Lepisosteus oculatus: one gene and its partner. The protein of the gene in region 1 interacts with the protein of each later gene in a biochemical or structural test. Links are inferred from orthologs where the notes say so. Each region holds a gene or a part of one and is shown in the gene's direction. Other genes may lie near its edges.

Region 1 (7,785 bases):
AGGTGGGGCTGCACTTCACTGATGGATGAAGTGGAACCCCTTCTATATATCAGGCGCTTTGAGAGCCACTGGAAAGAAAGGCATAACATAAACACAAATAAACTGGCACGCTAAAGCCACACTGTACTAACTCCACCTGCATCAGAAAGTCAATTCTGGAACAAGCAGTAAGACAGCAGACCCGAAGAGTGAGTGAACCACACTAGTGTTCTCCATAATGTTCAGAAGCTAAGGGTGCTAAACACAGAGACTCCATCTGTATAACAGGAAGGGGGTCCCCCAGTATTGAAAACAAAGAGAGAGACTGCTCTCCAGACCACGCAAAGGACTGGCCTAATTACTGAACAATAGCGCCCAATTACTGAATAATAATTCCCACAGCACACACCACTAGCCCACCCCCTGCAAGACAACCCAGACAAAGGGCCTGGCGCATCTGTGGGGCGAGGAACAGCCCGAGCAGATGGGCCTGGACTCACACTCTGGATTACACAGGGAGGGAGACCCGGCCCAAGAGGAGATGCAGCACCGACTGACTGTTTGCACAAAGACTCCAGACTAAGATCACTTGAAACGTTACAAACAAGAGGAGGCCATTCCACCCATCTAGAAGAGAGGAAACAGGTCAGCGTCTTCGTTCGAAAAGGGGTCCAATGGGCAGTTTGCCCAAAGTAGAAAAAAATCAGTTCTTTACCCTTAACTAAGGCAGACGAACACCGGAAGAAGCCACATTGCTAACCTGCGGTCCTGGTCTTACTGTAACAATCTACAGGTCAAAGGCCACCTGGCCTGATACTCTGGGCCCCAGCTGCCCTGAATGATCCAGGGTCTGGTTTCCCTGAACGGACGGGCAGAGAGGCAGCTCCTCTGCCTCCTGGCTCTTCCACACTTTCACCTCTCTTACAGCAGCATCTCCCTGCTCTCGGGTGGTAGTTGAGCAGCGCTTTGTCATTTACAATGCTGGTGTATAATCTACAGAAGGTTACAGTACAGAAAACTCTAGACGTGATAACATTCAAATGATAATTCTGTGGAAGCAGGACTCAAACTGGGCCAAACGTATTCCCATCCCCTATTATCCAACTCAATACTTGGCCAGTTTGATGTGCAAATCAAGAGGTGGAAGAATCAATCAAGAACAGAACAGCCAGCAAAGCAGCACAGAAGCAAGACACTTCAGACTGTGTTCATGAAGGGTTAGAACACTTCATCCTTAACTTTCAAAAGCATTCTATTCATAAATACAGCACCAACCTAATGTTATCACAGCTCATGAGTGAAAAACATCATTTATGGATTTTTAACAACATATCCATCAAAGCACGTGAATGTACCTGTGTGAAGGTACTGGTGGGAACAGGTGTTTTGCACTGAGGAGTCAATGTCTTGGCAGTGATCAGTCAATAATCAGACTGGAAAGAGGGGTTTAAGAACACCTGCAAGGCAGATGGGATTAATGACGAATTTGCGACAGGACAGAGGCCCTGCCTGCCACAAGGAAAAGACAACACCGAGAGTGAAAGAGCTGCAGGATGTCTGAGGATATCAAGAGCTCAGCAGCAACACCGCACAGGTCATAGAATAAGGCTACACAGAGCAGCCTAGCCCTGTCCTATGAACCTGTAAATCAAGGCATGTCCAGGCGGGTCAGAGAGCTCCCTGCGGATCCGTGGGGATCTACAGCCCTGGCTGGACTCGCTCTGTCCACCGGTGCGCTCCCTGTGGATCCTGGGATTCTGTCCTGGGTCTCCGCTCTCCTCTCTACACTCATTCCCCAGGTCCTCACCTCCTGTCATGGTCTTTCACACTCAACGCGAAGGACGCAGAGTTTCTCATGTTCACTATTTATATGCCTTTCACCTCCTCCTGGACTCGATGCTCTTCTTCCAGCAGACCCCATGCATCTCTTCTCTACCAGATCCCAGGCGCCAGCCTCCCTTTCCCCTCAGCCCCTCATCACCTTTGCATGAGGTGCCCTCCCTTCAGCAAGAGTTAAGCCAAAATCTACATGGGTCCCGAGGCTGTCTGTAAGGGTGTTAATCCCAAACTGGGCTCAGACAACCTAACCTCCCCACTGGTTCCCAGTTTCTCTCTGCCCCTGCTCTGCTGCGTAAGGGGGCTGCTGCTGTTCTGTGTCTACAGGGCGATGCAGCACCCCAGCTCTCCAAGACCCATTGTGATGATGCATGCTATACAGACATGGGGACTGAACTACAAGGGCTTAATTCTCAAAATAGTAATGCAACGTACCAACTGCATTTAATCACTGCAGACAAGCTGTAAGCACCCAGTAGGTGCATAAGTTACCACCCTGCATCCCCAGAGCCTGTGCAGTTTCACCCCTACGGCTGCCTTCGCCCGTCAGGAGAGGAGCAGACTGGACACGCAGCTGCACGACTGTTCCTCGTATTAACAAGTAAACTTTCCAGTTTGCCATTCACACTGAATGAAGGGGTCTGCTATATACAGGAATAATAATAATACTTCCATTGCCTGGCCCAGGAAAGAATCTTTACTCCAGAAGACAAGGGGTTACTAGTCCACAGATAGTGCCCTTCTTATGAATTACAAGCAAATCCTGAAAAAACACCGACTGTACACATTTGCAGGACACCAGAATCCCAGCCACTGCCCTTTTATGTACCACAATTCCCATGTGGGAAGCATTTTTTACCCCGGATAACTTATTTTAAAAGGTACAATAGCTTTGAGTTAAACAACAATTTAAAACACTTAAGCTATTAAATCACTTTCGTACTTATTGATACATATATTAGGTAAACTACTTTTAAAATTCTTCCTAACATTATCGGGGATTTCTACATACATCAATAAGAGGATTATTCCACGCAGAGGCACATAAACCGCACTTTCCCGTAGTTTAAACCCCACTCGGGCTTCGGTGAGGCTGCACATCCCGATACAGACACCGCAAAGACGCCGTAAACGTGCTGGTCAGCGAGCAGAGAGACCGGACTGTGCCACCGCTCCGGCCGGCAGCGAGCGACAGACACCCGACAGCTGGATCACGCAGAGCTCCGGGACAGCTGCAAGCACAGGGACCGAGGCTCCGGGCTCCACCGTGGTGGACGAAACCAGACGGACAGAGAAGCTGAAATCCGCTCTCGCAAACCGACACGAAGCTCCGCCGCCTTCGCTCTCGGACCCGCCGCAGCCCGCAGGCTGAGCACGACAACAACAACAGACGCGGAAGACGCGGAAAGGCGCTCCTGACGTTTCGCTCCAAGCGCGACCCGGGGCTGCGGCACACGGCCACACCGGACACCAGCCCTCCGTGAGGGACAGAGCCCTGCAGGCAACACCCCGTGCCGTGTGGTTAACCTCCCGACCTCGCTCTTCCTTCCGTCTTCCCGATCGCCCGCGGAGGCCTCGCAATCCCCGGCCCCCAGTGAGCGAGCGACCCGGGCCCCCCGCTCCTGCCCTGCCGGGCCTGCCAGCGCCTCTTCTCACCGGGTCCGAGCGCTTCCATGGCCGAGGGCTCTCTCTCCGTCTCTGTCCCGGCCTGGCGGCTCCGTACCGACACTGAGATTGGGGGCGGTATCGCGAAGCTGAGAGGGTCCACTCTGAGAAACTGAGGTCCGCTGTCGCCGCTCGGTTTAAAGCGGATCCGGGGAGTGCGGCAGTGCGCCTGCGCGCCGAGCGCTGCCCCTGCTGTGCGCCTGCGCCGTCCGGGGATTTAAACTGAGCGCACGGAGACGGGCAGCACAGGCGGCTGTGGACTCCCGGGGGTTTGGTTATCGACATCTATTTGGGCAGCATAGTACATGGAGAATTCGTCTCCCGTTGGATGAGGCTTTGGTTAGCCTGTCAGCGGTTTACCCGCGGTTTTTATAAATAATTCTACCAGGGAGGAAGCAGGAAGTTATCATACCGGCCGCTAGAGGGGGCAGCGCAGTTAATTGAAAGGTCTGACATCTCCGTAAACTGGCAGCATTTCAGCTCCGTTTTTACCAACGCCGTTGAAAAGCCTTGTCCCGCGCTCACAGTATCTCTTGTGCGGAGCTCTGTCAGAGCCTGGGCTGCTCAGCGTGCTGGGGTCCGGGGAGTCACAGAGGAGAAAACGCGTTTATATCGACATGCATCTGGGGAGCACAGGGAGAAAACGGAGTGTATCATGCTACAGCTTATACTTTTCATTCAGGTTCCAAAATGTGTGGGTGTCTGTGAAATCGTCACATTCGTCAGTGATCTGTATTGTTTTACTCCTGTTAACGTGGCTGTTTGCTCTGCTCTGCAACAGCCGTCCTGTAGCTGCAGCCCTGTCCCACAGCAGCTCAGGTAAAACCAGCAGGTTTATAAAGTATAATTTGCACTTCTTATTTATTTAATCCTCATTGTAATGTACAAATTAAGGGCGTCTGCCAGAAAAGATTTTTAAATTAAATTGAAAAAATATGACATGCTTTTTATTCTTATAAATTACTTTAAAACCACCGTATTGTCACGCAGTCGGTGGTCATTTAGTACAAATAGTTAAAAGTTTCAGCGCTGTTTACATTTTAATGAGGTTCAGTTTCAGGGCAACGTTGAAATCCTGTTTTGTCTCAGAGTATCCGGAATCAAAGGGGCTGAGTATTGTTTTAACAAAACTGCAATAAATATTGTGAGCTACCGTTAAGCTTACCCAATACAAAGTGAGGGGGGGGATAAAATTCACATCTATATTTTTATTTAAAATAAGGTGATTGCTTATTTTTGCTTTATTTTAGAAAGAGAATATTTTTATTTAATTCACAGTTCTTTAGCATTACTGTATTTGTGATTCCAAGAAAAACTACACAAAACCAAGCTTTCCAATCAGACCCCCGAGTGCACTGCGACTCGCTATTGGTCCCTGCTGCTGTCCGTCACTTGCGTGAGGCGTGGCTGGGAGCGTCGGCAGCCCCCGAGGTGGAATAAGTCTGCCGAGGTGGGCGGGTGCGAGGCGGGATTGACGGCCGACAGCCCAGTCAGGAGGGAGAGGAGGGGGCGAGGGGCGGGATGGCGCCCTGGGCGCGCGAGCGGTTGAAAGTCCTTTCTGAGAGAGCGCGCGGGAGGGAGAAGCAGGCGGGCAGCTACGAGTTGTTACTGTTGCGGATTAGATCTCATCTGTTTATCTGGTTTATTTTAACTGTTTAAATAGTTTGTCAAGGAGGGCGAGAAAGTGGACGTGGCCTTGCGTGCGTTTTCATGAGTCTGTGTTGTCGAGTGTAAGCGGAAAAGAGCCCGTCGCCATGAGTGCGGCCGTGTCCCAGCAGGTTTGTGCTGTTTTAGTCACGGTGGCGAAGTGTTCGTAAAGACCCGCGGTTCGTGCTCTGGGGGGGCTGTGTGCTGCTGTGCGGCTGTCCGGCCTCCGAGAGGGCTGGGTCCGGGCGGGCTGGACGGGCCGCAGCAGCACCGCCAGCGGAACCGAGCCGTCTGACCCGGGGTGTGTTCTCCGGGCCTCGGGAGGAAAGTCTGCGGTTTGTTTTGGTTGCTGAGCTTTTCGTGGCAGCGGCTCTCTGCCGCCTCGGCTGGCTCCCGGCCCGGCCGCTGGGGGGCGCGCTGCTCCGCTCTCGCGGTCCGGTGGTTCAACGTGCGAGCGGGGTTCATAGCGGGGGCTCCTGCTTCGCCACTCGGCCTGTGTCTCGGCTGGTGCGCTGCCGTTTCAGTCCGGGGTCTGCCAGGGCGGTCAGACTGTACAGGGCCCGACGCGAGTTTCTTCCGAGCAGTCGGGACCTCGGGTCTGATCATGGGCCCAGTCGCTGGGTGTTGTTAGCCCACCGAGCTGTTGCTGCAGATATGAGCTGCTCCTTCTCTGGAGTGTCGCACTGCCGGCTGGAGGCACTGTCCTCCACTCGCAGAGCTCAGAGCAGACCCCCAGGGCGGTTTCCATGGGATCACAGGGGCAGTAAGCCCATCGGCCAGATGGGAGGAATGGCTGTGCTCGATTATAACCTTTCTTGTGTAGCCGAACTCGGCTGTGTCACCGCCAGCCGGTCAGTGTTCAGGTTTCTCCAGCTGTGCGGTGTTGTAACTGTAAGCCATCCTGTTGATGTATTGCAGTGAAGTCAATCTGCAGTAAATCATGTCTAACTATAGCGATGCTCGATACAGATGCTACCCCACGTCCTCGGGACCCGTCTGTGGTGACGCTGCGCTGTGCCGTCGTGCCCGTAGGTAACGGCCACCCGTTTTCTCTCCAGGCGCCGGACGTGCTTCCCGTGGAGGAGAGCGACTCCGACAGCGGAAAGGGCAGCTGCGACCTGAGCCCCCCTGTGCCCACGGGGGGCGCCCCAGCGATGGCTGAGAGCAGCGAGGACCAAGGTCAGCGGGGCCGGGGGTATAACGCCACAGAGCTCTGAGGGCTCTGCAGTGGGGTCACTCTGAACCTCCTGAGGCTCTGCCTGCTCCGCAGGGGGGATTTGTACAGTTACCCTGTGTCTCATAACTGAGCAGTTTGACGATGGTCCGGACCGTTCGGAAGCGAGTGTCTCGTGTGCGTCGCCTCGGAAGGTCCGTGTCAAAGACGTCTTGTGTTCCAGACTCGGACGGCGAGGTGGCTGTGAAGAGGAAGCCGCGCGGCAGGACGGCCCTGAGCGACAGCGACAGCGAGGCCGAGGAGGGAGGGGGGCCGGCCGAGGCTCTTGCCCTGTCGGAGTCCAGCGAGGAGGAGAGGCAGGAGGGAGGAGGCGGGAGGACAGGACAGCGGACGAGGAGGGTGGCGCAGGCCGCCTGGGACAGTGAGGACAGCGAGGCGGAGACGGACAGGCAGGCCGGCAAGGCACAGGGAGAGTCCCCTGCTGGGGAGACGGTGAAGCGGGAGGAGAGGTCCGAGCATTGCCGGGAGAAGGACAAGAGGAGGGCAGAGGCTGCGCCGAGAGCGAAGAGGAACAGGAGGAAAGAGGTACGTACAGGGCGCAGCTGGGAAGATGCAGCCCTGGGCCTGGAAGGGCGGCGAGCACAGGTGTGCCTGCGTCAGACAGGTAGTGCTCCAGCCAGCTTTGTCCTGCTTGCCCGGTTGGCTGTCAGTGCTGTGTCAGGGGAGAGCTGCTCAGCAGACTTCATAGTTAACAAAAATATTGAATGTCTTTGGCTGTTCTGCAGTCTTAATTTATCCTGGTCCACAGAAACATTTTAAATACACTGCATGTTCTTAAATTGTCTAGTCACTGATTGTTGGACAGGTTTTTATGTTAACTTTTTGTGCTTATTTTAAAATACTTCTGAATGAGTGTCATGTGATGTGTAAGCTTATATCGGTTCTGTGACTGCACAGTTTGAATGTGGATTTAACTGGATGGGGCATCAGTGAGGTTTGGGTGGGGTGTGTGGCTGATTCGCTAAACAAGGCCAACATTAGGACAGCAACCACTTCACTCTCTCCCTAATCTAGGAGCCCACTGCTCCCCCCTCCTTTAATGACAGTGGCTGCCTCCTCAGAGACAGTGACCTGTTTGACACAGGTGTGGGGGAGGAAGAGGAGGAGTCCCTGGATGCCATCAGAGCAGCGATGAAAAACAAGGTGAAGAAGCATAAGGTGAGCAGAGGTCATGACATGGCGACTGCAGGACTCTTGTCTGCACTGCTGTGTTGGGGGAAATGAGGAGTTAAACCTCTTTTCACTTCTGCACGTTTGACTTTAGTCACAGAGTCCTTTAGTGCTGGCAAAAGTGTCTAATGCTCTTCTGTAAAGCAGGGTCCAGCATTTTATTGTCCAAGCGGGTCTCGAGCACTTTGTCTCGGCAGATTGAGGTTTGTGTACAGACGTGTTTTTCCTGTCCCCAGGAGAGAGCCGGGAGGGAA
Region 2 (7,396 bases), on another chromosome or scaffold:
AAAAACCGAAGATGACGAAAGATTAATCCAACACCATCCTTCACCTCCCTCAATTAAAACTCTACATTCTCATGCTTCTGTTTGGTGCATCTGGGATTCTTTTTCGTATTCTGGCACAGTAGATTTCTTCTGAAATCTAGGAAGATTTTAATTACAATGCTACATTATTGCTATACTGTAGTAGGGAAGCAGTCAGTCAAAAGCCAAATTACATTCATGATTTTTCTTAGATTTATTGGAATATCCTGCTTTTGAAATTGGGATGTGATCTTTTGTTGCCATCATTCTAGGACTCCCCGGTAAATGGGGTGTCTGAAAATGCGAAAGCCGAGGCAGATGGGACCTGGGATTTCATCTGCCACAGGTGGGGTTGCAGATCGAATGGGATTAAGTAGCTCAATAAAGCCGCAAGTGTCCAGGGCCTGGCTGAAGAATACAATTAAAATGCAGTGGGAAGGTTGTGGGTGTTGCTGTGAAGGAATACATCCTGAGGCAATGAAAGCAAACATTTTAAAGCATCAGCAAGCCTAATGGAACCTACGAATCGCTACAAATGAGAGAATCCTCTAGCACATCTACAATATTTCTTGGCTAATTGATCCAAGACCATCATCCAACTGCATCTCTTTAAAGAGCCATCTTATCAACTTTCAGACTCCCACAGTCCTTTTTGTAAAGTGGCCTTTGACTTCCTGTTTAAAGGCACATCCCTGCTGATTTCACTGGTACACACAATGCGTTTCTTCATGATTTCTGCTTGTGTCCCATGGTTCAAATGACACTCTTGATTTAGAAATTCCTTGGATTGACTTCATCAGTGACTTTGAATTAGGACTCTGGAACGCATTGGGTATCTTTTCTGTGGACTGATTCCAGAGCAGCAATATGATTTTTATAAGATGGTGAGAAAAATCATACATGATATTATGAATGGCATCTTAGTGTTGCGTATGGTATTTCCCCATGGCAGAGTTCTTTCTAGCACTCTCTTGACCTTTAGAATCTGGTATTTAGATGCAAGCAAAAAGAAAGCAATTATGCGTGGTGACGATTTGATAGGAGAAACATAACCTACCACACTGAAAATACTGTGACTGTTATGGTATTGTTACACAGCAGAGAAAAAAAAAACGAGTTGCAGTTATAACACATTCTTTCACTCAAACATTGTTTTGAATTGAAAGATTTCCTTTCAGTCCTAATGTTTAATTGGTAAGTGAACAACAGACATGAGTATAAATATTTATGAGTGGGATAATTATAACTTGCAAAGGTTTCACTGCTTTAATTTGGTTTAACTGTTTCTGCATGTACAATATATACACTGCATTATTGTGTGCAATTAATACATATTTTGCACTCATGGATAGAAAGTGGGAGCCCTGTGCTTTTTGTCTGTAACTACTTCTACACAGAGAAATCCATAGCAATCCTACTGTGCACATCTACATTCTTTGCTTTCTTTAACGTAGGCTCCACACATAACCCAGCAGCACATTTGACTGAAAAGCACATATTCCTCAATAACGGGCAATGAATGCACAAAGTACAGTAATTGTGACGTTTTAAGATATCATAACTGGATTATGGCGGAGCTTAATGTGCAGAGGATTAGAGGAAGGATGGACTGTTGAGGCCGAAGAAATGTGAAATGAGATCAGCTGAGGAGGTGTTCAAAGAGGATTAGGAGAGGACTCTTAATGTAGAGAAAGAAGATCTTGAATGATGTTCAGCCATTATAGTCAAAACCCTTAATTGCTGTAACATCTTTAGAGATGCTGGGCTGAACAGTGGTGTGTACAAGGATAGAACTGGAGCTGATTGAGCCTAGGAGAGCAGACAGTTATGTGCTTAAGGGCATCCTGCAGCTGGAGGAAGATTGAAGTGAATGTTAAGATTGGAGGTGATAACTGCTACACCTCTGGGGTAAGGAAATAGCCAGACATTTTACCACAGTGGGTAGAATATCTCGGCTGTATATCTTAGGACACAGGACTTTAATCTGTTGTAACCACTGCATTACTGTTGTGCTCTGCTGTTAGAATTTTGTTAATGAAATTGCGAAAATTCTGTTCCCAAATACACAAAGGCTCAATTTATATTAGGGTAGTTTTGACTTGGGAATCCTATATTCGACATATTGCCGTCAGCAGTGACCTCCAATAAAAAGTGCTATGAATTTAAATTCAGGACAATTCACCAATATTAACATGAGTATTGTGAGCATTGATTTGAATATGCTGCTAGATAAGGGATTTGCAATGAGTTAATGAAGGGATTCCTATCGGGTGCAGACCTTTTTAGACAATGGGTGAATTATTTCCACGTATTACTGCAGATCCCTGGATTCTACCACAGAGGCCACGGCTGCAGTATTGCAGCATGTTGTGTCTGTTTTGCTCCAGTGTCTTTTTTCATGGGTGGTGTAAAGGGTGTCTTAAAAAGTCAAAGTAGTTCATCAGAATAAATGAGCTGATTTGTAACTTTTCCTTTACTCCTGTAGTAAAAGTGAATGCACTGAATATTAGAAGGAACCAGATAACTTCCCATTTTTTATATGGAACATTACAGTACCTCTATCTTTTACTTAAGAGTAATTGGTACATCACTGATCATCAGAATCATCTTCTCTTCTGCCTGTGATTGCATGTCTGTCCTGTCATGGGACAAATGAAACGTTGCGCTTCATTAAAGAGAAAGTCCATGAGCATCAGAGACTGCTGCACACTTTCCTGTTACATTTATATCCTCTGTTACTCACTATAAAACAAACTAATTTATTATTCTTACCATTTCATGTCTTTGGTGAAGAAAAAGACATGTCTGCTGAGGAGATCAGCAGTACTTACTGCAACACATACTGGAGCATCAGAGGAGTTAAATATACAGTGTTTTCTGTTTTCTCTGACAGGTGTTGCACTGCATTTTGGTAACCTAATTCAGATTTATGACACTAGAGGTCTGCCCTTTCCTTTTAGCAAAGCAACCAAAGAAAGTGGTTGCAAAGGAACAAGTAATAGGTTAATTCTATGCTGAAAAGAGAAGAAAAGAAACACAATGTTTCGGCTGTGGACCCTTCTTCGGGAAGAAAGTGGTTGTTGCCAGACGCTCATTCTAAGGGTTAAAGGGCCTGAAGAGCTTGATTGTACGATTGTGTCAGTTCTAACTCTTGCTAATTGAAACGGATCATTACATTGCTTGGCTAGGCTGTGTGTGACAATGCCCAGAAGCACTGCTTCCAAGCACTGGTGTGTGGTGAGTGGACTTCGTCTGGGAGATTTTCAGGTATATCTGAACGGCTTTTAAAGACTTGCTGATGTATTACATTAACCTTATAATCTCCAAATAGATGTTCAATGGTACACCATTTATATACTGTATATATAAAAATATGCACTGTCATTTATTTATTTAGCTTGGATTATATCACTAACCTCAGACCTAAACCTCCTAGTTCCTTTCGTAGCCCTGGTGGTGATCCCTGTGGAAAAACAGGAAATCAAAGCTGGGCCCTGCCGTGAACAATGCTGGCAGCTGCCGCCGTAGAAAAACGGCAGGAAAAAATCTCTTAGGTGGAATTAATCTCAGTCACACGAGTGAGGGTAAGAAGTGTCCATGAGCGCTCTCCCTGTGCGAAAGGCAAGCAGAGCCCCACATGGTTTTGTGTGCTATTGTTTCAAGAGAAACACGCCAGCACAGGCAGCTGTCCGTGTCAGGACGATACAGAATGATCCTGCTGAGCTGAGATTTAAAAAATGGAAGGAGGTAGTAGTTCCTCGCAGAGGATATCTAGTCTGTCCTGTATATAGATTATTTATACTATACAGATATATCTGTATCCCATCATGATGCACACTTCTCAACAAAACTGCCTATTTTATTGTTTGCCTATTGCTCTTTGTCAAAATCAAAATGATTTATATTATTACTACAATGGACTGCCTTCCCTCCCAGAGTGTACCCTGTCTTGCGCCCATTGCTTGTCAGTTAAGGGAATGAATGGATGAATGTTACATATAATGAGAATCATATTATTACTATATTAAGTCATTCCTTTATATAAGTAAAATGAGTTTAAAAATAAGGTTATTGTGTTAGATGTTGGATAGTGTATTGCTTTTGTATAGTTGAATCTTCTGAAATCCTGGGCGTGCTATACTACAGTACACTTTGTTTTCTGCATTACGAAGCTGTTGGACTTGGCAGACTATCTGGTACTTGTTTCGAATGTGATCCCCCCTGTATTCAGACTAACTTGCTTCGCTTCAGACAGCACCCTGCAGCTGACAAAGACTCAAAAGCCGTCGATCCATCAGGCGGCGCTGCCGAGTTGTACTCGACTACCCGGAAGTGATTGTGTTCCTAGGCGGGTGGTGCTGGATCAGCACTTCCGGAACTGCAGGAGCCTTTCACTGCTCAGGAGACAGAGCAAAAAGGGGAAAAAAAAGCTTCAGGATAAAATACAAAAGCTTTAACACGCAGGGGTCTCAGCGCTTTCACGAGTGGCACCGATTAGGGGGATCGTGTTACTGAGTGGATCAAACCTAATCAACATCTGCGTGAAAGTAAGTCCGGATGATGATTTTCTTTCCTATCCCCCCTTTCACAGAAACAAATGACTATTATTAGCGATCTCAGTCTCGCCACTCTCCAGGAAATACATTTAATTAATGTTTCTGAAAATCGGGAGGGAGGTGGCATCGTGGACAAGTTCATACTTTGTTAAAAGATAATGCCAGTTAAAGGTGAAAGTTAAAGGAGGGCTGTTAAACATCTTTAGGTTTATCTCTTTTTCAAAAAAGACTTACCAATGAGATTATCACATTATTAATCATCCGATCGATCGAGGGGTGCTAGCAAAGCGTGTTTAGCTTTTGTCTGAAACCGTATCTTTATCTTTAAAAAAAAAATCGAATTTAATTACGAAAAGGCTATTTAAATTAGTTTGATCCGTTTAGAAGTCCAGACACGCAGTGAGGTACGTTGTGCGTACTCTCTGTTAACTGTTTGTTGAGTGTTTTTACAAAGCATTCTCTCCACTTTTGTGTTCGTGAAACCTTAAACCGTCAGATGTATCCAGAGTTCACTGTTGCCAGCAGAGCTCTACTGTTGCAGCTCTGGGCTGAGCTGTGAGCTTTGCGACGGGTGTCTCCTGCGTAGTCCGGTTCATGTTGAATTGTTGGCTTTGAGCTAGAAACAGCGCTGACACTGTAGTTGTCGGACACGATGGGTGCTTTCTTCAAGTTCCGAGTATGTGAACATACAGGATCACTTCGGGTTTCCCTTACCGGGTTCGCCACCATCGTTTCGCTGTGTGTACGGGGGCCTTTTCCTGGTCCGGAGCAAGTCCGAGCAGTACACCCGTCAGACTGCGCTGTGTGTCCGGATGAACTGAACGACACGACTGGGGTGGCAGCGCCAGGACACCCCAACCGCCTGTCGCGAGTACTGGGAAATGTCTTAACAGATCAGGGGGAAGACGCTTCCGCACGTTCCTGTGCAGCCCAAGAAGGTTTCTTTTAATGATAATTTAATCACCACGATTAAATAATCAGACTTAATTAAGAAGCTCATTAAATCTGATAATTTAATTGGCAGCTTGTAAACTGACGAAGCAGCCTCACAGAGTGTACGTGTAGGCTCGTTGGTGACCCAGTAACCATTTGTCTGCACTGCTGCTGTGCTGTTAAGGTGTTAGGATCTGGTGTGATCTTTGGCCCGTATTATGCAAAAGCATGGGAGCTCTGTGCTACTTGTATGACACTCAGCTCATCTCTCTAGTCCCATGTGTTCTGGACTGTCGCATAGTGGCTTCTGAAAGGTTTTTTTCTATTTGTACAGCCCTACCTCTAAGCTATAAGAATGAGAGTGTGTGTCACAGACCAAACACCTGTGACACACGATGTGCCCGTACGTACTCATTCGGATGTCATCTTTATTATTCCCTTAGACTGCTGATGTGTTCTGGGACCGTAAATGTTAATGAAACAGACACTAAGCCAGCACTGACCACTGTGAAGTCAGTTTTCAGAGGTTTAGGGCAAGTTTGGATAACCGTGGCGAACACACTCCCACACTCCTCGCTTGTTCTCTTCGTAGTCAACAGTATTGCAGTGCCTGGATCGGTAATAATTGAGCTTATTCATGTAAAAGCCCTAATAAAACCATGGCGGTAATGTACTGCAAAAAAAAATCAACTCATGACAGTTTGAATCGGATTATTCATAACTGTAAATAGGTCCTGTGCTCCAAGCAGTGTATATAGTTACAAGCAATCCTCCAAACAATATGTACTGAATACAAGGTTCCGATGTGAACTGTTTATTTTAAGTTTTGGTTTATATTCATTATCCTACTGATTACAACTTTTGTGTTCTATCCCCCATCCGTTTTGTATCCTGTCTTATTTTCTGTTTGACTGGCATTGCAGAGCTGCTTGTGGGGAAGTAAAATGGTTAACATGGTCACCTTATGAAAGAAAAACAAAATATGCTTTTGTAAGTAATGACCTTTGCCTTTAAGCTGTGCATATTGTATCTTGATCTGGTCTCCCCATTATTAAGCAGTCTAAAATCTGTCACAGTCAGTTTGTGAAACAGCAGTCAACATCTGAGAAATGTGTCAAGTGGCTTTTTGTAGCTTTGTGATATGTGAGCAAGTTGTAGCTCTATGTTGTATACATAGCAAATAGGTCATGGGATCTAGAAATCACTCCTTTTTGTGGCTTAAAGATTAAAAGAAAACTCCCTAGAGTGTTGTGCTTAAATACTGTGTTAACATTTGTTCCGAGCTCATGTGATTGTCTCGCCAGTTCAGAGTGGTGTCACAGTCCTAACTGTTGCCCAGTACTAGTGCAGGCTTTGGAAAAGAGATGGGAGGAATTCACAAGGCAGGATTGTGGAGACATTTGTTTGAGCTGGAAAAAAAAAGTTGACATACTGTGCCTGGAAACGGAGAGAAGTGTCTTATAGTCATCTGGTGAAGGGTTTTCTTTCGAAAATGTAAGTGCTAATTTCAAGTTCTGTACAGTGTCGTGGCTGGTAGACGACGAAATACTAATTCCACAGCGCAGATGAAAAGATCCTTACACAGCATGTACTTTTCTTGCTGTGAAATCCTCTTAGATGCTGAAGTGATTCCAAAATAGATGCATTCAAAATGTTTAAAAAGCATGCTTTGGAGATTGGATTAGTTCTTAGCTTCCCTTTAACGGCTGTGTTTTCTTTTTGGTCATGCTTTAGGGTGATGCACGCTTGTCATAAGGCACAATACAGCTGCTTTTTTTCCCCTTAGGTGCTTTTTCAAGGCAGCTACAGTTGTGCTGCCTGCAGTATAATAAGCAGCACCAAGGTCACAGTGTGAAGTGTTGAGAAAGTGATGTTTATCAGTGTCTTCA

What was found.
Region 2: of the proteins of claspin (region 1) and csnk1g1, one has a biochemical effect on the other in vitro, tested with the Homo sapiens proteins (2 studies listed by BioGRID). The link is inferred for Lepisosteus oculatus from reciprocal best matches to the Homo sapiens genes CLSPN and CSNK1G1.

What each region holds. Positions count from the first base shown.
Region 1 is NC_090706.1:162,273-170,057, forward strand, and holds the start of claspin, read left to right. Parts: upstream 1-4,777; 5' UTR 4,778-5,234; coding exon 5,235-5,258; intron 5,259-6,185; coding exon 6,186-6,306; intron 6,307-6,524; coding exon 6,525-6,886; intron 6,887-7,375; coding exon 7,376-7,519; intron 7,520-7,767; coding exon 7,768-7,785. Other genes in the region: ago4 (protein argonaute-4), read right to left, coding at 3,472-3,490.
Region 2 is NC_090700.1:60,265,190-60,272,585, reverse strand, and holds the start of csnk1g1 (casein kinase I), read left to right. Parts: upstream 1-4,386; 5' UTR 4,387-4,565; intron 4,566-7,396.